Linked DNA regions of Callithrix jacchus. The protein of the gene in region 4 purifies or fractionates together with the protein of the main gene of each other region. This does not show direct contact. Links are inferred from orthologs where the notes say so. Each region holds a gene or a part of one and is shown on either strand. Other genes may lie near its edges. The genes, in order: GNA13, VAPA, GIPC1, ARHGEF12 and MYO6.

The links.
Region 1: the proteins of ARHGEF12 (region 4) and GNA13 purify together in Homo sapiens (affinity purification with western blotting; 3 studies listed by BioGRID). This does not show direct contact. The link is inferred for Callithrix jacchus from reciprocal best matches to the Homo sapiens genes ARHGEF12 and GNA13.
Region 2: the proteins of ARHGEF12 (region 4) and VAPA purify together in Homo sapiens (affinity purification with mass spectrometry; 5 studies listed by BioGRID and IntAct, counting the BioPlex papers as one, with this or other methods). This does not show direct contact. The link is inferred for Callithrix jacchus from reciprocal best matches to the Homo sapiens genes ARHGEF12 and VAPA.
Region 3: the proteins of ARHGEF12 (region 4) and GIPC1 purify together in Homo sapiens (co-immunoprecipitation; 4 studies listed by BioGRID and IntAct, with this or other methods). This does not show direct contact. The link is inferred for Callithrix jacchus from reciprocal best matches to the Homo sapiens genes ARHGEF12 and GIPC1.
Region 5: the proteins of ARHGEF12 (region 4) and MYO6 purify together in Homo sapiens (affinity purification with mass spectrometry; 4 studies listed by BioGRID and IntAct, counting the BioPlex papers as one, with this or other methods). This does not show direct contact. The link is inferred for Callithrix jacchus from reciprocal best matches to the Homo sapiens genes ARHGEF12 and MYO6.

The regions. Positions count from the first base shown.
Region 1 is NC_133506.1:124,266,894-124,271,081, reverse strand, and holds the start of GNA13 (guanine nucleotide-binding protein subunit alpha-13), read right to left. Parts: upstream 2,897-4,188; 5' UTR 2,745-2,896; coding exon 2,462-2,744; intron 2,161-2,461; exon of another isoform or gene 1,991-2,160; coding exon of another isoform or gene 1,936-1,990; intron 1,228-1,935; exon of another isoform or gene 1,013-1,227; coding exon of another isoform or gene 970-1,012; intron 1-969. UniProt on the Homo sapiens protein: Guanine nucleotide-binding proteins (G proteins) are involved as modulators or transducers in various transmembrane signaling systems.
Region 2 is NC_133514.1:53,009,243-53,013,653, forward strand, and holds the start of VAPA (vesicle-associated membrane protein-associated protein A), read right to left. Parts: upstream 2,868-4,411; 5' UTR 2,606-2,867; coding exon 2,527-2,605; intron 1,935-2,526; exon of another isoform or gene 1,663-1,934; intron 1-1,662. UniProt on the Homo sapiens protein: Endoplasmic reticulum (ER)-anchored protein that mediates the formation of contact sites between the ER and endosomes via interaction with FFAT motif-containing proteins such as STARD3 or WDR44.
Region 3 is NC_133523.1:13,277,131-13,281,280, reverse strand, and holds the start of GIPC1 (PDZ domain-containing protein GIPC1), read left to right. Parts: upstream 1-1,316; 5' UTR 1,317-1,449; intron 1,450-1,731; exon of another isoform or gene 1,732-1,891; intron 1,892-3,867; 5' UTR 3,868-3,922; intron 3,923-4,150. UniProt on the Homo sapiens protein: May be involved in G protein-linked signaling.
Region 4 is NC_133511.1:20,126,968-20,130,587, reverse strand, and holds part of ARHGEF12 (rho guanine nucleotide exchange factor 12), read right to left. Parts: intron 3,352-3,620; coding exon 3,118-3,351; intron 1,565-3,117; coding exon 1,094-1,564; intron 301-1,093; coding exon 1-300. UniProt on the Homo sapiens protein: May play a role in the regulation of RhoA GTPase by guanine nucleotide-binding alpha-12 (GNA12) and alpha-13 (GNA13). Acts as guanine nucleotide exchange factor (GEF) for RhoA GTPase and may act as GTPase-activating protein (GAP) for GNA12 and GNA13.
Region 5 is NC_133505.1:80,986,465-80,990,625, forward strand, and holds the start of MYO6 (unconventional myosin-VI), read left to right. Parts: upstream 1-1,346; 5' UTR 1,347-1,544; intron 1,545-4,161. UniProt on the Homo sapiens protein: Myosins are actin-based motor molecules with ATPase activity. Unconventional myosins serve in intracellular movements. Myosin 6 is a reverse-direction motor protein that moves towards the minus-end of actin filaments.

The DNA.
Region 1 (4,188 bases), on a different chromosome or scaffold from region 4:
TGGGAAGAAGTCATTAGATATTATCATAAGCTTTTATTCCAGTATTATTTCCTTAGACTTCTGAATCAATCCAGACATACCTTCTCCCAAAATGGAGACCAACATCAAAAACTTCTCAGAGCTTAAAAAAATAACAGCCACTCACTGTCTTAAAAGTAGAGCCTTGGAAAACAAATACTATTAGCACAATTGCTCTTTCTGAAGGACTTTCAACATGTTCCAATTTATAAAATAACTTCTGGGGTAGAAGGCAGTCAAAAAAGAACCAAACTCAAGAAGGAAAAGAACTTATGCTGCATAGACCGCTGTCCAAGCATGGAAGAAAATAGATACAACCAAGATTTCATGAACTTAAAAGATGTTCACTTATGAAACACTAAGAACCAAGTATTCTAGCTCTGTGTTCTGTTATCTCCTTCGGCACCCTAACCCAACGTTGAGTCTTCTAGGAACATTCAAAATTTAAAAACTTCTACCAGCCCATGCTTCAGTTCAGTTTAACTCACAGGACAGCCTTCAATTTCCCTAAAAGCAAGATCAACTGCAAAATAATATAAAATTGAACTCCAGCTCACAGAGGTTAGTTCAAGCTTGCTTTTTCTATCACTGATCTATTGTTTTTATTACCTTTGATCCATCTGAACAGTCACTTGGCTAGTAGGAAGTCATTTGTTTGAATAACTGAAAAACTGGTGTTTTTTAGTTTTTTGTTTTTTAATAGGGATGAGGTCTGGCTATGTTGCCCAGGCTGGTCTGGAACTCCTGGGCTCAAGCCATCCTCCCACTCTGGCCTCCGTGCTGGGACTGCAGGAGTGAACCACCACACCCAGCCTGAAAAAGCTGTTTTATTGTCAATTTTCATGTCAACTAAAAAACACTAGATTCCTGATAACTTACTTCATCTCATAATCAATGCTCAAAGTAGATCACACTTAACAACTCAGTGTACATTAAGAACGAGGTGTTTACCTGGCTCACAATCAGTTAACAAGTTGATGCTATTCATTAACATAATTCCTTAAGTTCAGCTGCATCAGGATACAAAGGTACCTTCGATTAAGGACTAAGGCAGAGTCTGCAGCCTTGAAAGAGACCTTAATTAGTTTTGTGCTAAACATTACAGCAGGGTAAATACAACTGTTCTTTATAGTTTAACTGCAGAGGTACTAGGTCTTCTAGGCTGTGGTCTGTGAGCTGCTGGCCTAGAGATTCTCTAGTCATTACTCCACAATGCCTGCCTCTTCAGGCAGTTTTCCTTTACCCAAACGCTGGGAGGGGAGGAGTGGGAGTGACATGAAAAAAACCTGCAATCTGTAGCAAGCTCCTGAACTGCTCCCTAGATAAAATAAAATCCAGATGCACGTGAAGTATCAGGCTCTGCACCTGAATTCTGCCAAAATGCCTTTTCTATAGAACATACATGACACACAGAAAAATGAGTATCTTTCAAATGACAAAATAAAAACCATCTTTTCGATTCTTTTGAATGCCCAGAAATAAACAACTTGTTTATTTTTCCACTTAAAAACAAAATTTAATTTTAAAACTACTGTCAATAAAGAGCAGGGCCAATTATCTAACTCAACACTCATTCATTGTCTTCATCTGTACAGGATCCACATGACTTTTAAGCCAGTCTTCTTACAACTACAACATTTCATCTAAATAGAAGTAGTGGCACTCCCTTCCCGCCAGCCCTCAGCTACTTGGCGAAAAGGAGAGTGGAGCGTGCTGCACAGCGATTATATGCAAACATCCTACCTGACAGTGACAGTGGGGCGAAAAAGGGCAGATGCTACTTTTTTAGACTAACCGTATGGGTCTACTCTCTCCTGATTCCAGTACAGTCAACCTGACACTCTCAAGTTTCATACCCTTGCCCAAAAGGAGGCTGCCACCCTACGCCCTTGACAAGAAGGCAAAAAGTTCCCTTACTGCGACGGTTCCAGAACTTGGAGGCGGTCAAGGAAGCAGGGAGTTGGGAGCGCATGCGACCCCATGTGACTCGGGTCACTCAGCCGGGATAGCGAGGTTCGGCCCACATCGCCCGAGCCGGGAATGGGGGTGCAGGGGCTGAGGCTGCTCTAGGGTCTTCCTGCCTCATCCGCAGCGGGGAGGACGAGAGAGGTCTCCCATACCCCGAGACACCCAGTTCGCCTCACTTCCCTCTCGCAGGGGGCGAGACCAGGGGCGCGGTGGGGGGTGAGGGAATGGCCGTGACGCCCACCGAGGAGACAAGGGGGAGAACAGGGCGCCCCCGAGCATCCTCTCGCCTGGGGGACGAGGGCACCCCGGGCGGGCAGGGCCAGTGCCCGGGGCGCGCCCCCTTCCCGCCAGCACGCCCGCCAAGCCCGGTCCTCCGCCAGCGACGGAGCGGACGAGGGCGGTGCCCGGCCCCGCGCCCGCCGCCGCCCCAGTCCCCCGGCCCCCACAGCCGGGGCCCCCGTTCCCGGCCCGGCACCTTTGATCACGTTGCTGTAGATGGTGGGGCGGAACTCCTCCCGCGCGCGCTGGTCGAAGTCCTGCCCGTGGATGATCCGCATCTGCTTTAGGAAGGTGGACTTGCCGCTCTCGCCCGCGCCCAGCAGCAGGATCTTCACCAGCCGCTTCACGTAGGTCTTCTCCCGGGACAGGCATTTGTCGATCTCCTTGGACTTGCGTTGCTGCTCGGCCTCACTGCTAGTCAGCAGGCAGCCGGGGAAGCACACGGACAGCACCGACCGCGACGGCAGGAAGTCCGCCATCTTGCCGCCGCCGCCGCCGCCTCGGCGGGCCCCTCCGGCTCCCTCCACCTCCTCCTCGGGCGGCGGGCGGCTCTGGCACCACGGCTCGAGGGCGGGGAGCGCAGCGGCGGCCCGAGCGCGCCCAGGGAGGGAGGGAACCAGCGAACTGACTCGCAGGGCGGGCCGGGCAGGGCGGGCCAGGAGAGCGGGGGAGGGAGGGAAGGAGGGCGGACCCGGCCCGGGAGGGGCGGTGGCCCCGGCGCGTGCGCGCTCCCGCCGCTTCCCGGGGCGCGCTCGCACGCCGCGGCAGCTCCCTCGCCTCCCGCCCTGGGCGGCGAGTCACGCGCTTGCTGTCTCGCTCCGGTGCCCGCACTCGCTGCCGCCGCCGGGAGCGCGCTGAGAGGGCTGGGGAGCCGCGGTCACGTGGGCGGGGCGGGGGAGTCTAACTTTCTGTTTCCCTTTCGTGGTCTGCGCCCACTTGTGGGCAGAACGGCTCCTTCCCCTGGGCTTGGAGGCCGGAGACCAGGTACCGGACGCGGCTCCTTGGGCTCCCACTTAGCCGCCCTTTCTCCCGCGTGCGCCTGCTGCCCACTGCCACCGCCCACCGGACCCTTTTCGAGGCCACGGACTCGAAAGTTATTTGAACAGAACAGCCGGCGTGAGCCTGGCATGCCTTCGGTGCATTTTCTTTATTTCATTTTTTAATTTATTTTTTATTTTTTTTGAGGTGAAGTCTCTCTGTCACCCTGGCTGGAGTGCAGTGGCGCTATCTTGGCTCATTCCACCTCCCAGGTTCGGCCTCCCGAGTAGCTGGGATCACAGGGATTACAAGAGTGTGCCATCATGCCCTGCTAATTTTTTGTATTTATTTTTAGATACGGGGTCTCCCCCTATGTTTCCCAGGGTGGTCTTGAACTCCAGAGCTGAAGTGATCCTCCAGTCTCACCTCCCACAGTGTAGGGATTCCAGACGGAGCCACTGCTCCCTGGCCTGGTGTGTTTTCATAAGGTGACTCCCTTGACCTTCTACTCTCCGAATCCCAGAACAGTAACCAGACATCATCCGCCCACACTTGCAGTTCTTTCTGGCATTTTCAGACCCTGCCAGCCCCGCCCCCCTTACCAGGGGAAAGAACTGGAGTTGATGTTCACCGGAGACGTGCTACTAGGGGCTCTTAATGGCTCAGTCATGTGCATTCCACCTGGGCTGTGATGTGGCTTCGGGGACGCTTGGCCAGGCTGGAATCAGTGAGTGGCAGCAGGAGGGTGAGGTCATGGTGAAAATCCCCTACACCGGACACTGTGATGCAGGCTATTCCCAACAAGGAAGCAGATACACAAACACCAGGAGGAATGGGAGCATGCAAATTTTAGGTTTCCTGCCAGATTACAGAGGATGTGACCCGTCAGGGGACTTTTTTTCTGTCTTAGCAGCGGATTCAGGCCAGGACACCTGAAAGGCCAGG
Region 2 (4,411 bases), on a different chromosome or scaffold from region 4:
TTTTTAATCATAAAGCACAAGTAGACTATAGATTCTAAATCAGTCTCCTCAGTGTTGAGCTGTGCATATACGAAGGTTTCCATCAAAGCAAACAATTTGCCTTTGACTAAAACAATATTAAAAAGGAATCAAACACCAAATGTCACCTCCCAATCCTCCCCATTATCTGTATCTTTAAAGTGAAACACACAATGAACTATTGGGCATTTAAGTACCAGGCATTTTCTCACAACAGTTTGTTTACTCAACCACTCTCTGGGCTTAAACCTTCCCTGAAATGAAAAACAAGCCTTTTCGTTAAAGGCTTCCTAAGGGAGGGATGGATGGGGCACGTAGAGAAAGGGCTTCTTTCCTCAGACAGGATTGTGTCTCTCTTACACCATTTGTACATTTTCTCTTTTTCCCTTACTAGTCTTATCATTTGTACTGGCAACACAAGAACAATGTGTTCCATAATCATAGCTATAATTCTCCAATACCCCCAAAGAAGGAAATATATGAGTAAGTCACTGTGTAGGGTTTTTGGTTGTTTTTTTTTAAACCTGCTTCTCCACTATTACTAGTCTCTTACTAAAGCAACGTAACAACTTCCCCAAGGAGAAACCTTCAAACTCTGTGGACATTTCATGGCCTAAAACTGGTTGTCAAGGCTTGTAAGCACCTAACGGCAATTTACACAGTTATCCAGTAGAGGAAACGTTCACTGTAAACACAGCCAGTCAAAAGATAAAAACGAAATACACACACACACACACACACACACACACATCATAGAGGTTTACATTCAATTATCTCAAGATTATGGCTGAGTTAGGACATTTCACGATTCCTCAAAGGTTTTCCCCCAGCTAAAACTATGTAAAATCACACAACATACATTAACTTGCAATAAAATACATTCACTGCACCTTGTCTTAAAACCAAATCCTTACCCAACAAGTAGCTCACTCACTTTTCTATTCAATAGGCCGGGCGTGGTGGCTCACGCCTGTAATCCAAGCACTTTGGAGGCCAAGGCGGGCGGATCACCTGAGGTCGGGAGTTCAAGACCAGCCTAACCAACATGGTGAAACCCCGTCTTTATTTAAAAAAAAAAAAAAAGAAAGAAAGAAAAGAAATTTGTAAATGCACTAAAAAACTTGCAATGCAGTTATCCAATATTAATCTCGTAATTTCAGAATATATTTTAAATTCCTAAAACTAAAGTTTTTCCTGTGGAAAACAATGTAGTTGGGATTTCTCGTTACACAACAATAAAGGATTTCACTGTTTCTTTTAGCACTAGAATTGCTATACACCTCACAAAAATTGTTCTCATTCAACAAACTGAACTACAAGACACTGACTTCCAAAAGGGGACTCACTTTACACTTAACTAAAGATAGGAAGGAACCTTTCTATTAGATGTTCACACTCTTTCAGTATTCCTTAAGTACAAGAAAAAAACAAAAACCTGTCCAGTTTCTAACTCTCTTTCCTAAAGTACACCTTATATTGACAAGCAAACGGATCAAACAGCCCCTGGGATTGTTCCAGTATCACCAAGTCAGACTGAAAACTTATCACCGGCAGTGCTACAAAATAAACCTACAAAGTTCCAGAGCTGGCTGACCTTAGCCTTCTCAGGGTCTGTAGGAAACCGCAAACGTAAAGGCAAAAGTCACACGTACTGAAGGCTTCTCAGCAGAGGAGCTCAACTGAAGGGCTAAATAAGAGCAAGCACGCGGGTGGCACACTGAAATGTCGTAGAAGGCAGGAAGCCCCGCTACTATGAACCTACAACTCTGCTTTCGCGGCTGACGCATCGCTCCTGCCCGCACGCGCTTGGGGCCGTGCCAAGAGCACCGGGCAGCCCTCGCCAGGCACCTCCCGGGCTCCTCCGCCTCCCCAGCGCGCCCTACACCTGACAGCCGAGTTCTAAACAGGGAGGAAAGGTGAGGAGAGACGCCCTCCGCGGAGCCCTAGTCCGGCTGCACCCAACTCTCCCCGGGCCGGGGCCAGAGTCGGGAGACGGCTCTCACTCCCGAGGGGTCCCGCGCCACTGACAGCGGGAACCGGAGACGGACGCAGCTTGCGCCACCTCCAGAGCCCACTCCCCGCCGCAGCCCCTACCGCACGCCCGCGGGTGCCCACCCACCCACGCCCCGCTGAAGCACGCCGTCGGCCTCAGGAGCCAAGGACTTGGGCCCCGGCCGACGGCGGCGCGGGCGGGACCGAACACCCGGGTGGCGCCCCCGCGGGACCGCAAGATGGCGGCGGCGGCGCCAGGGCCCGGCTCCCCTCCGCCTCGCCTGGGCCGGCGCGCGCACTGCAGCGCGGGCGGGCGAAAGGGAAAGAAGCCAGCCTGAGAGCCGGGCAGGCAGGCAGAGGCCGCGGCGAGGCAGCAGCCGGGAAAGGGCAGGCGCCCGGGCGTGGGGGAGGGGGCGCTCCCTCGGGCCGCGGCCGCCGACGTGCTCTCCGCGCCCCCCGCCGCCGACAGCCGTCCGCGTGCCCCATCCCGCCCGGGGGTGTCCCCATCCTGCCTACCTTTGAATTTGAGGTCTGTGGGCGGGTCGAGGACCAAGATCTGCTCATGCTTCGCCATGGCCCCGGAGGCGGACGCCATCGGAGAGACAGCGCAGAGCGGGGGCGCGCCCGCGGCGACGGTTTGCTGGCTGGGGGCGGGGAACGACGGTGGTGCCCGCTCGGCCAACCTCTAGGACGGAGCCAGGCTCGCCGCTTCCGAGCCCTGACGCCTGCCGCTGTGTCGCGGGTACGGTGGGCCACCCGCTGGGTCAGCAGCTCCGGATCTCACAACTGACTCAACCCCACACCAGCCGCCACGGCCACGCGCACTGCGATCTTCGGCGCCCCACGTGATGGTCTCTGCGTTGCCTACGTGCGCGCCCCGGCGACCGAGAGCCCCTCGCGCTCGTCCCGCCCTCCAGGCCTACCTAACGCGGCGCCGGGCTACTGCGCCTGCGCGCTGAGGGCTCGCCGCGGCTCCAAGCGCAGCCCAGCTGTCAAGGGAACGGGTGTGGAAAGAGGCGGGGCAAAGGCCCGCGGGACCGACGCGATGCGCAGCCGCAGGCTTGAGGCGCAGTCCTCTGTCACGTTGAGCTACGAGTACGAAACTAGAGAACCTGCTCTGGCAGCGCATCACGGTCTTCCAAGTGGGAATGCCTAGGGAGGAGTAGTGGGGAAGCGCCCACTCACTACAACTCCCAGCATGCCCCTTGTGGGGCGGGGCCTTCGCCGAGGGCCTGGTACTTCGCGGTGCTTGCTGGGAAGTGTAGTAGTGGCTGTTTGTGGGCGGGAAGGTGAGCGAGGTCCTTTTGAGGCGAATGGGGTGGGGTTCGCGGACGCTAATTTTGGCTCAGAGCACGTCTAGTTTGCGCTAAAAAGGAAAAAACTTTTGAAGGCGGAAACGAGTTCCCAATGTTAGAAATATACTGATAAAATCTGCCCTGTGGAGAACAGGCGGGGATGTGTCCGTTTGCTCTGTAATTCTATCCATCCCTCTGTTGGCAAGACTGCATTCCCTGTAATGATCCCATCCAGCCTCTCCTGCTTCCTGAGTTCTCTCCAGTGATGCAAAATCAGATAAGGAAGCACACCCCGTCTAGGAAGCAAACGAGTCGCAGGGGAAATATGACAAAGCACACAAAAGCTAGAAACAAAAGTCAAAATCTACACCATCGAGCCTACGAATCTTCAGTTTTGATTAATGATGGACCCAAACCAACACAGTTGTCACGTTCACATGTTACAAAAGAAATCCATCTGCATCACTTATGATAGGCTGTAGTAAACTGAACCAAATGAGAAAAATCCCAGCAGCAAAGTTGCTGACAAATCTTTAGCCGATTGCCAAGGTAATCCGGTACAGGAACGTCAAATGAAGCGAATGTGCTGTAAATAAACCTTTATTGTATTGTATGATACTGTCTGAATTTAAATATCTAGGAAGCGCCACAAAATAAAAGACATATTGATTGATGCTACTGCCGTAAAGCAGCACAGTTTGTCTAGAAAATAAATGAGACAAAACAGCAGTCAAGACGCAGGCACCAAGTTTTCATGTGCAATCCAGGTATCAGAGTCCACCCAGGAACAGCCTACTGGAATCACTAACCTGGCATTCACAGAAGATGGTGCCACCCAGGAGGAATGCATCTTCAGCCTTGAAGTTCCTGGGAGGATAGAGTGCTTAAGAAGTTTGAAGCATATTCTAAATTTACCTTTCCTGTGATTTCTTTCTATTTGCAAAATTTATTCTGAAATGTCGATTATCATTAAGGCAGAATACCAAAAAAAATTGTATATGAGTTAAAGTTGATTTTGTTTTAAGGAAAAAAAAACTAAAGTTGACAATCAGTCCAAATAATAGTGTCCCACATAAGTTTAGTTGTGAATTGACAACCCTAAAGGC
Region 3 (4,150 bases), on a different chromosome or scaffold from region 4:
CCGATGAAGCTTGAGCAGGGTCTCAGCGCTTAGAGGCTTCCAAGAACTACAGTTCCCAGAACACGCAGCATTCAGTTGCTGTCCAAGTGGCTGGGTTTGAACTAGAACAAGGAAATCTCGCCTGTCCTGGGAACTGAGCGTCCTGGCCTGTTCCAGGTGCGTTTGTGACTCATGTTTCTTGGATCTGTGCCCTCCTGAGAAATCCCCGTTCCTTATAAACTACCTGGTGCATTTGTCCACACAGGTTTGCTGAGAACCTGTTATGTGGCAGCTTGAGATGGGAGTGAGGGGTTGACGAGAGAGACTCAGTCAGCCTCCATCCTCACAGTCAGATGGAGACAGATCCATCAAAGGTCGGAGGCTGGCTGGGTACCCTCTGTGATCTAGCACGTAGTAAGTGACCAACAAATCAACAAGCAAATAAAAACTATCTCACTCTTGTCTTTCATTCCATCTTGCCTTTCCACACTGATTTACCAGCTCCCACGATGTTGCACTATCCTAAAGCGTGCTGTAGCTCTCTGGCTTTTGCACACTCTGTTATCTCTACTGGAAGCATATTCGGCTTACTGGCTCACGCGTTTGTCTGTAGGACAGAGCCTGGCACGGAGCAGAGGGCACATTAAATATTTGATGAGTGAGTGAATGAATGAATGAATGAATGCCTTTCTCCATTGTACACTCCAGGAAGCAGGGACGCTCGGGACCCTCCGTATTTATCTCTGCCCCCCGCCCGCCCCTAGAGTATGAATGCACTTTTTATCAGCTCCGAGGATGGCCAGGCTGGGGCAGAGGCCGGGCGGGGAACTGGGTTAGGAGCTGCCATCGACCCCCCACCCAGGCCTCCTAAACGGTCCACTTTCCCGGACGTCGGGAGTTCGCATCCTGTCCCCGAAACTTGGCCTCGGTCACCTGACTCCCCCGCCCCTCACCACCCAGGGCACCCTAGACGGACATTCAGCCAACAGCACGTGGTTCAGGGGCCCCAGCTTCCTTCCCATTGGCCGCTCGCCTCCTTCCTTCCCCGCGATTGGCCGGGACCCAGCCGCAGCTCCGCCCCCCCTCCTCAGCCCTCTGGTGGTACAGCCCGCCGCGGCTCAGGCGGGGCGGAAAGGTCCACTGCTTTGCGGCGCAGGGGGAGCCGGGAAGAGCCGGGTGAGGCGGAGGGATCCCTCTGGAATGTTTCCGTCGGGTCCACCCGAAGCGGGAGGCGCGGATTGGCCGCGAGCTCCGGAAGACAGCCGCTAATTGGTCTTCCGCGGGCGTCGGCCCCGCCCCCCTAGGCGCCACTGCGGGAGAGGCCCAGGCAGGAGTTTGCGGAGGGCCGAGCCGGGTGCGCGCGGGGAGGCGGTGGCGGCGGCGCAGGTGAGTGGCCCCGGCGGGAGGGATGTGTCCACTCTGGGGGCCCCGGATGTCGCGGGCCCGCGAGGATCCGGCGGATCGTGCAAGGTGGGGCGGGCCCCGGGGACGCGACTGGAGGTCTAGGCTGAGCGCGGGGATGCCGGAGGCCCCTTCCTGGGGGGAGCGAGGGTGGGGGTGGTGGGGGCAGCTCCCTTCCTGCTGGAGGGCAGAGGGCAAACGCCTCCCAGCACCAGGTAGGGGTCTCCGGGCTTGCCCCTCCCCCCTCCCCCTTCTAGACGGCCCCCATCCCGGGGGGGACAGGCGTGGGGTCGATGTTTCTGACCCTTTCCTGTCCATTTTCCCTGAGCGAACCGCGTCTGAACCCTCCAGGGCCTGGGGCACGCAGTGAGGACCAGGGCCTGGATAATTATCATCATGAAAAACTCCACCCCAGCTAGCATTTATGGAGCGCTTCCGTGTCAGGCATTTACCATGCGGATCATTGAATCAAAACACTTCATGGGAGGTGTTGTGCCTTCTTGTAAAAAAGGTGAGGCAGCAGGCTCAGAGAGGTGGAGTGACTTGCTCAAGGTCACACAGCTAGTAACTGGCACATCTGGGGCTGGAACTCATGCCCCCAGGGTCCAGAACTGGAGTCTCAGCCACTAGACTTGATACCCACTGGCTCCATAGTTCAGTTGTTGCTGAGCAGCTCCAGCCCCTACCCCTCCCACCCCTACCTCATACTCATCATCAGGGCCACACTTGTTGGTCTTTTGTTTCCTTCCCCCCCACCCCCACAACCCCCAAAGATCACCAGATACCAGCCACTCAAACAGGAAGCTGCCCTCATGTCCCTTCTACCCTGAGCTGGAGAGGGCAGGTTTGACTACCTGGGTCCAGAGAAGAGTGACATCTGCAGGGGCCCAGGATGCTGGGGTCCTGGGCCTGCTGGGTCCCCCCTGGCAACCTGGGCCAAGGCTGAGCAGTAGGCGTTCTCCAGGGAAACACCCAGGAGCCGGTTTTTCAAGAGTGAATCAGAGGCCTCTCTCCCTCCTCTCCAAGGCAACACGGTGTGGGAAGGGGGAGCCTGGGCGTGATTTCCCCCTTCCCCTAGCTTCTGTGTGCTCCCAGGAACCCCTTTCCCTCCTCCTGCCGACCACACTGTGTTTCTGGATGGCTGTGGGGTTGCGAAGTTTCAGGCCCTTCCCAGGATGAGGGGGCCGGGATGCCGAAATTCCAGCCCAAACAGTTAATATCCAGGTCGAAGTTTCTCTTCTTCATCTCTGCGTTCAGGTGTGAGGGGAGCCAGGGAAAGTGGGGAGTTAGTAACCCCACAGTAGGCATGTTTGGGGGGCTGTTTTGAGGATGGAGGTTTGCAGAGAGCAGTCAGAATGAGGACCTGAGACACATTCATTCATTCTACAAATATTTCAAGTGAGCACCTACTATGGGCACGTGCTAGGCACTGTTCTTGGCACAGAAAATAACATAAATGAACAAAAATTCCTGCTCTTGAGGAGTTGGCACTCTGAAAGGAAGCAGCCAACAGCAAGTTATCAAGTAAATAAAGAAGATAATTTCAGATGACACTAAGTGCTATGAATAAATGTGTGGGTAGTACTATAGAGGGTTGTGGGCAGGGGGTGCCAGTGCCAGGAAGATCAGATAAGGGGGTTGGGCAAGGTGGCTCACACCTGTAATCCCAGCACTTTAGGAGGCCGAGGCAGGTGGATCACTTGAGGTCAGGAGTTTGAGACAAGCCTGGCCAATATGGGGAAGCCCTGCCTCTACTAAAAATTAGCCAGGCGTGGTGGTGCATGCCTGTAATCCCACCTATTTGGGACACTGAGGCAGGAGAATCACTTGAACCTGGAAAGTGGAGGTGTCGGTGAGAGGAGATCGTGGCACTGCACTCCAACGTGAGCAACAGAGCAAGACTCCATCTCAAAAAAAAAAACAAAACAAACAAACAAAAAAAAACAGGTCGGGCAAGGCCAAGGTCTTTCTTTAGGCTGGACCAAGCTTGGAATCTAGTTGGAGCAGATGAACCCAGAGCAGGGATTCTGCAGGGGTTTGTGGGTCACAGTAAGGAGTTTGCAATTTTTCTTCCAGAAGGTGGGAAACCGTTGTAAAGTTTCAGTCAGGGCAATGATGCCATCTCATTTATGTTTTAAAATAGAGACATGAAGTTAAATGACAGCCTGAGGCTGGAAGACAAGAGTTCTGCCAGGGCAGCATGCAATTAAGTTCCTGGGCCTGAGCTGTCTGTACCACAGGGGAGGTTCCAACATGCTGGGGCAAGCCTGGGAGGCTGCCTGGAGGAGTGAGCCTGGAGTAGGTCTTGGCAGGCAGAGAGGGCGGGGATATTCCTGGGCAGGGCAGGGCAGAGAAGGCGATACCAGTAATAATGACAACAGCTTCCTTACATGGAGTCTGAGGCAGAGTATAGATGGGATACGTGGGCAATCTCTTTGGATTTCCATAACCACCTTGAGAGTGACAGGAATTCTACCCATTTTTCAGATGAAGAAACTGAGGCCCTGTGAAGTGAAGTGACCTGCCCACAGCCACACAGCTGGTAAGTGGCAAGGGTGGGATTTGAACCCAGGCCATGAAGCCTCTTATGGCTGTGGCAGGCAGATTCATTAATCACTCACTTTCCTCCCTGCTGTTAATCCTCACTCACGGGTGGGGACACAGAAGCCAGCATGAACCAGGGCAGTGGGTGTGGACAGAGAGAGAGTAGGGAGGTTGGGAATCTTGGTCAGGATGTAGGGATCTTGGAAGTTTGGATCTTGGTACAGAT
Region 4 (3,620 bases):
CAGCCTCTATCTTATGAATGTACTCCATGATCTGGCTCTGTGAATCTGCACAAGAGGAGGGACTCTGGATCTCAAAACAGGAATCCTCCATAGCTCCCCAGCGCTGCTGGACCAGAAATTCGGGGGTGAATGGTGAAACTACCCCATCAGAGTGAGCATTCTGAGGAGAATGTTGCTGCTGGTGGGGGGAGTCCACAGCAGAGATGCCTGTCATGGGCTGCGGGGTAAGTGAGGAAGCAACCTCCTCATCTGTGGAACTCTCCTGCACTGTGTCATAGCCATCAAGGATCAAATAGTTTCCTACGGATAGAGACAGAAGAGTTTGATGAGACCAGTGCTGCCATTAGAAAACAGAAATAGCATAGTGTGCTGACAACTTCAACTTGAAAAGTTATTAAAGAGGGAAAAGCCTTTAATTCCTGAGTTTAGTTTCAAGTACATCAGAATTTCCTCACTTCAGGTTAAAGCTAAACTTGGCAAACTTTCATGGTAATTTCTGACAGATTTCATTTAGTTAGCATTTCAAAGGTTTAAAGCTGGAAACCACAGTGCCTAAATGATCTTGCCACCACTTTCCCTGCCAAACACCTCTCTTGCCCTATCTCTTGCCATTGTCTCACTCACCCAGTGTTCAATCACCACAACAAGCTTGCTCTTGACACAAAGCCTCTGCCCCATTCTGTTCTCTGTTGGAACACTATGCTCTCATGTACCCACCCACTTGGCTTTATTCCCTCATTTCATTCAGGTCTCTGCTCAAATGCTATCTCGTCAGAGGTCCTATTCCCTGGTCACCCTGTTTGCCTCCATTACTCTGTCCCTTAGTCTGACTTAGGTTTCTTCCTAACACTTCCGAAGTCTAATTACTTGTTTACTTATTTATTGTATTCACTGCTATAACTCCCAGCACCTAGGATGAGGTCTGGTACAGAGCGGATTCAGTATTTATCAAATAAAGGAATAAATAAATACTGCAGGTGTGTGAACACACACACACACACACACACGCCTTGATACCAACATAACAGCCATTTCAACATACAGGACAGTTAACAATGATCAAAATCAAAGTTTAAGTGTGAAAGATACTTGCCTGAGATGCGTAAATTAACCTCCTTCTCTTCCTTGTTTACCACTCCATCACGTTCTGATGGATTCTCATCACTATGTGCTTCACGGGCATCAAAAAAGTGCTCTCCACTGTCATCAAGACCCCCTTCTGGCTCTGTGGTAGGCATCTCTGGGGTCATAATCATGTGGTCCATTACTAAAATGTTACTTGCCTGGCTATCTTGGGGTGGCAATACCACTGAATCCCGTGGAGCAGAAGATTCAGTTGAAGTCCGTGGACTGTAACAAGTTGCAATGTCACCAGTTCCAGTTCTAAAGGGCATATGTCCTTCACTAGAATGACAGGCCTTAATATTTTCAGAGTTCTGGATGACACTGTCTGTCTGTGCCCCCTGAGAGGCCGTCCTGTATCTTGGGAAATGTTGCCAGTCTTCCTGAGTGCTCTTCTCAGCCAAACCCAGCTGTTGTACCAGCAACTGCTTCAACAAACCCACTAAATGATATAGGAAGGAAGGGGGGAAAAAGCATATTCACAACTATAACCTCGGGCTGCAAGAATTAAATTAGCAATTATCTTTAAAAGTATCTTTAATGACTCATTAAAATGTTAATTATTAATTTCATACAATCATTTTATTTTGTAAAATCATTTTTCATTTTGTTTTGAAAATGAAATAGAGCACCATCTTTTAGAGAAGATTTAACATTAAACTAAACTTGAAAAGATCTAAGCATTCTAAATGGGGGGAGGTACTCCTATTTAGAACTCCTGAATAACCAATATCATGCCTCTATTTTTTTCTTCTACATAACTAGAAAAATACCCTAAAGGTACTTCTTAAGAATGCTGAAAGGCTGTGTTAAGCTAGAGAGAAAAAACTAAAAGTTCTGCCCTTTCCAGATGCAGACCCTATATGCATATTATTTCCTCTGATTTCTCAAGATACATACAACATTTATTGAAAATAAGAACCAATTTAATTTTGAATGGGCAAAGTGTATGCTATGACGTCACCCAGACAATGATAGAGTTACTGGGACAATGTTAGTCAAACCATCAGAAATCATTAAGACTGTTAATTCAGGGAAATGTAAGAGAGAATAATGTAGGTTTTAAATAACTAATTCTTTGCTTTCATCACTAGCTTAATGTGTCTTATGTTTCTTTAGGTAAACAAGCTCCGTTTAGGTCCCTGATCCTCTGTCCTGCTGCTCTACAATCACTTCCGAGAGATGCTAGGAATTCCCCTGGCTCTGATGCTCAAATCTCTCTTCCTAACCTCTCCCTAAAGTTTCACTCCTAAAACTAACTTCCTACTAGTCACCCACTCTTTACTGTTTTGTCAGTCATTAGCTTAATCTTGACATTCTTTAAACGTGAGCCTATAATTCTACTAAGTTATAAAAAAAGAAAAAAGAAAGTACAATGGAAGGAGGTAGGGGAAGCAGCGGTAGTCCTTTTTTGACTCTTATTTCTGACAAGATTAATGAAATTGTCTCTAAATAGTCCCTTTCCTTTGTCCTCACATCCAAACAAGTCAGTTGTTTTAAGCATTTGCTGACTTCTCACTTTCTTCTTATTCCTTTTGATACCATTCTAGTCCAAACTCTTTTAGTCTCAGGCCAGCCTACTCTAATAGTTTATTTAGTAAGTACACCATTCCAGAACTCTTTCTATTCAAATCCTTCCACAGCTCTTAGCCAGATTAATCTTTCTTCATACCTTGAGGCATACCCTGGTTTAAAAATTTCAAATGGTTCTCTACAGCCAGAGCAATTGTTAGCAGCCTTTTTTCCACCTCAATACAACTGAGACATATGCTGTCCTCCCATTCTAACAGTGATTCTCAAAACAGCTGAGGGGCGGAAGCTAATAGAGTGGCATGTGCATTTGTGTCTGTGGCATGGGCCATTGCAGAGAATACTATAATCTCCACAATAAAACTAGAAGACTAAGTGGAGTTTGATAAATCCACATATTGTAGGGATGGCAAATGAGTGCGATACTTAATAAGTATCTGTAATAAGTTATGAATAAAAACTTACAGTTTCTTAGTGCATCCAATGCCCACCGTTCTTCTGAAATAGGCAGGTGTGAATCTGGGATTGTGATTTGATAATCTTCTCCAACTTCCTTTAGTGTCCCATCTGTATGTTGTTCCTTTGCAAACTGTCTCTCAGCCACAAAGAGATCACGTACCTCTGATTTTCCAGAGGTGCTCAGTGAATGAGGCTGAGGTTTTGATGATATTAAGGTAGATTCTAATCCCAAATCTCTGTCTGTCCAATGGAATAGAAAACATAGAGTACATCTAAACAAAACTTTTAACTTTTAAAATGAAGCATTCAGGCAAGAATCAGAAAAAATCCCCATAAACTACAGAGATCATCTGTTAAGCAAAATACACAGCACTTAGAGCAGTGTTATACTAAAACACAGAAGGCTCGAAAGTGAAGTTTGTTAAACTGCTGGAACCTGCATAAACCAGACAGTATTAAGGTTTCTCTGTATTGTATTTTATTTTATTTTATTTCATTCATTCATTCAT
Region 5 (4,161 bases), on a different chromosome or scaffold from region 4:
CACCACCCAGGCTGGAATGCGGTGGCACGAACTTAGCTCACTGCAACCTCCATTTCCCGGGTTCAAGCGATTCTCCTGCCTCGGCCTCCCAAGTAGCTGGGATTACAGGCATGGGCCACCATTCCCAGCTAATTTTTTGTATATATATATTTTTAATTAAAAATGGAGTTTCGCCATGCTAGCCAGGCTGGTCCCAAACTCCTGACCTCGTGATCCGGCCGCCTCAGCCTCCCAAAATGCTGGGATTACAGGCGTGAGCCACCATGCCCAGCCCCTATTTTATTCTTAATATTTTGTTTTAGTTGAAAGCTAAAACATCTTGCGAGACCTCAGTTTTTTTTTTTTTTTTTGTTTTGTTTTGTTTTGTTTCTCCAAGAAAACCGTGAAGCCTTTAAGTATCAGAAATTCTCTTCGGAATCTTCAGAATTCCAGAAGTTTCCAAGTCGCTACATATAAATGTTGCAGAAAAACGTGCAACTCTCATGTGTAAGTAGGCTATCTTTTTTCCCCGGATACATTTAGCATTATAGTCCATTATCACTTCGTTGCCTTAACAGAAGCTGTTTTCATCGTAAAGATGATGTGTTTTCACCATATAATTCAAATTTGCATAGGTACTTCATATTTTAAAAAGTGATTCACAGATATGTCACGTATAAAAACAGTAACATTTAAACGACTGAGAAGGTAGGGACTCTAAAAAGTAAATGCAGCGGCGAGGGTGGGAGTGGGGAGAAGCAAAGGGGTGCGAAATTCACATCTCAAGCCCTCCCTCCTCCAAAGGCCGACTGGAACTTAGTTGTGCAGGAACGTTCCTCCCTATGCAGGGCAGCCCAGCCCAAGCCGGCCAGATCCGGAGCCGAGGTAGCCGCCACACAGCCTCGCTGCAGCCCGGGCGCGGCCACCTGGTCCCTGGGTCCCCAGCGCGGAGCCCCGGACTCCTCGCCCCCTCTCCGAACAACTTTCTCCCTGCTTGAACTGATTCTTGCTGTTGGCAGCCTGCACAGTCCCGGCATCAGCCGGAGAGGACCTGCCTCACTGGGACTGGAAACAGCTACCGCGACGAAGGAGGCCGTTTCTCTGTGCGAGGAACCAGAACTCCCGGCTTGTCCAGGGCAGCCCCTCCCTGCGCAGCAGGGCGCCCACCCCGCCCCAGAGGCTCGGCGCCGCGGGCGGGGCGACCCCGGGGGTACGGCGCCCTCGCTCCCAGAACGCGCGCCCCCTCCCGGCGCGCTCCCGGGGGCCGGCCGCACCGCGGCCCCGGCGCCCCCGCCCCCTCGGGCGCTCCGTAGCCGTGACGTGCACGCCGCGGTGCCGGGGACTCGGCTGGGCGCCGGCCGGCGGGCGGAGACCGACTCGGGATCTGTCCGAGCAGGAAGCCAGCCGCAGCCGGGCCGCTGTCGCCGCCCCGTCCTGCAGCGCGTCCGCGTCGTCGGCCTCTTCGCTCGCCCTCATCTCTCGCCCTCATCACTTCCCACCGCGCCCTTCAGCCTGAGCTGCACGAGTACCTCTGCCGCCGCGCACCTGCCTTCACGCCGGCACCGGTGAGTGTCCCGGAGCCCCCGCTGCGGGGCGTAGGCTCCGGGGTCTCGCTGTTCCCGGCCCGGCCTTGCTCTTGGGCCTCCTCGGGCAGCTCCCGGGCCGACGCGTCGGTTCACCGCCGGACGACGCGGGTGGGAGAAGCAGGTGATGGGTCGGCCCCGGGCGGCGGCGGCGCGCGGTGGGGCCGGGGGTGGTTCTTGTTTCCACAGAAAGACGTTTAGCCTCCTTTCACGGGTTATCAATCACCAAGGTCCCTTTGTGTTTCTTCCCTGGCTCCCAGGTAGAAGCAGAGCACTCAGGTGTCCAACTCGGACTTGGACACTTTGTGATAGTTTTATTTTCTCTTTTGTAAACACGCTTAAAATACAGTGCAGGGAGAGCGCAGTTTGTTCTGAGATGTGAAGATCAAATGATACCATTAATAGTCTAATCATGTAGAAGACCAGATTGAGACTTTGTAAAGCTTTATTCTTTGTCTCTCAGTACCTTGAGTATGTTAATTTACAGGTATGCTACTGAACAAGAACTTTCTTCTGTTAATTTCCAAAAACTCCCTAAAACGATTAAAATGCTCAAACTCTGGTATTTTAATTTTAAATAGGACATAATTTGATGGGGTATCCCTAGAACATCTGAGTTTAGAAGTATTTCCATACAGTTTCAAAAAATTCATTACATCTTATCTAGCATAAAGTGATACCGTGGAAAGATGCTTAACTCCTAATTTATGAGTATTAGTGAGAAAACGAGAAGAACTGCCCTAACTTAATAGACTAACTGTACGGGCTAAGTAAGTCTCATTTTTTTTTTTTTTTTTTTTTTTAATGCTCTGGTGGTATAGATGCAGTCTATCTAGTCAGAATTTGAGAGTTTTAAAATTAAGGTTCCTTTTTTGAGACGGAGTCTCACTCTGTCGGCTCACTGCAACCTCCACCTCCCAGGTTCAAGTGATTCTACTGCGTCAGCGGCTGGGCTTACAGGCGTGCACTACCGCCCAGCTAGTTTTTGTATTTTTAGTAGAGATGGGGTTTTGCCATGTTGGCCAGGCTGGTCTCGAACTCCTGACCTCAGGTGATCCACCCACCTCAATCTCCCAGTGTGCTGGGATTAGGCATGAGCTACCGCACCTGCCCTAGAAATTAACATTCTTAAGATTTAGCTGAAACTTATCTTCACAACATAAAACATGAATCTTGAACTTGGACTTGTAGTGGTCATGGTACAAAGGTTGGCGGCAAAGCAGCATTTCCTGTACAAATTAACTGAGCTTCCTAGATGTCTCAGGTTGTGGTTTTCCAACTGGAGAATGTTTAGTGAAAAAATTACCTCTGATCGGAGTCACGGCACGTAAAAAAAAAAACAAAAAACTTAACTGTGTCTTTTGCCTTTAATTGTAGAAACCGCCACAAATGTTACCAAGTGGACTATAACTAGAGCTTGAAACCATGCAGCCTTTCACAATAGCTCGCTGACTTTTATATATCCAGCTCGTTTTGAGTATTTTTACGTTAGGCAGGAATTACATCCACATCGGTAAACAAGTCATTGTAGTCGTATGTACATTTGCCCATTACTTTTGCATTTTTTGTGTGTGACATGCTGTTTATCATTCTCCATCTTTGTAAGTTACATTATTGTTTTCAGAAACTATTGTAAATGGCAGTAACAGAAGTATGAATGACATTTAAGGAAATATGTTAAAAACTGTATAATATATAAAACTATATATGATATACATATATATTCTTGGTTAGTGCCCAGAAACATGAGCAAGAAAAATGTAATGAACAATTATAATATTTAATGTAAATTAATGCAATTAAATATTGTATTAAAAACAAAAGATTGTAAATCATAACCAGTAGAGCTTATCTGAAATGGATTTTTTTCCTATTTATGTTTACGTGATCAAGTTTTAAAATAACAGTGACCAGGAAATCCGAGAGGCTGAAGGCTCTTTTCTCATCCTGTTGTGACTTTGCCTGGAGTCTGTGGTGTATCATGTAGCCCATTGTTTAGACAATTGGGCTGTATCTGGCTTCCAAAATGTAGCTTTCTTTAGAAAGTTTTTTAGAAAGTTTCAAAGATTTTGACCATGTGAGGTTTGAATAGATATATACATCCAAACATTTTTTAAAAATTAACCCATTTTAACTTTGTTGACAGTTGAGGCTCCGTTTTTGACATGTAAAATGTCAGTTTTAAGAAGAATTTAACTTCTGTACAGTTTTCATTTTTATATATTAAAATATCTAAAAATAAAATATTGAAAAGTGTTATAACTTAAATAAATCTCATAGAGTTTATTTATTCATTTTTTTTTTTTTCCCTGAGATGGAGTCTTGCCCTGTCACCCAGGCTGTGTAGTGTCATGATCTCCGGTCATTGAAACCTCCACCTCCTGGGTTCAAGGGATTCTCCTTCGTCGGCCTCCCAGGTAGCTGAGATTACTGGTGGCCGCCACCACGCCTGGCTAATTTTTATATTATTAGTAGAAATGGGGTTTCACCATGTTGGCCAGGCTGTTCTCGAACTCCTGAGCTCAAGTGATCTGTCCGCCTTGGCCTCCCAAAGTGCTGGGATTGCAATCGGAGTTTAATTATGATACCCATAATGAGA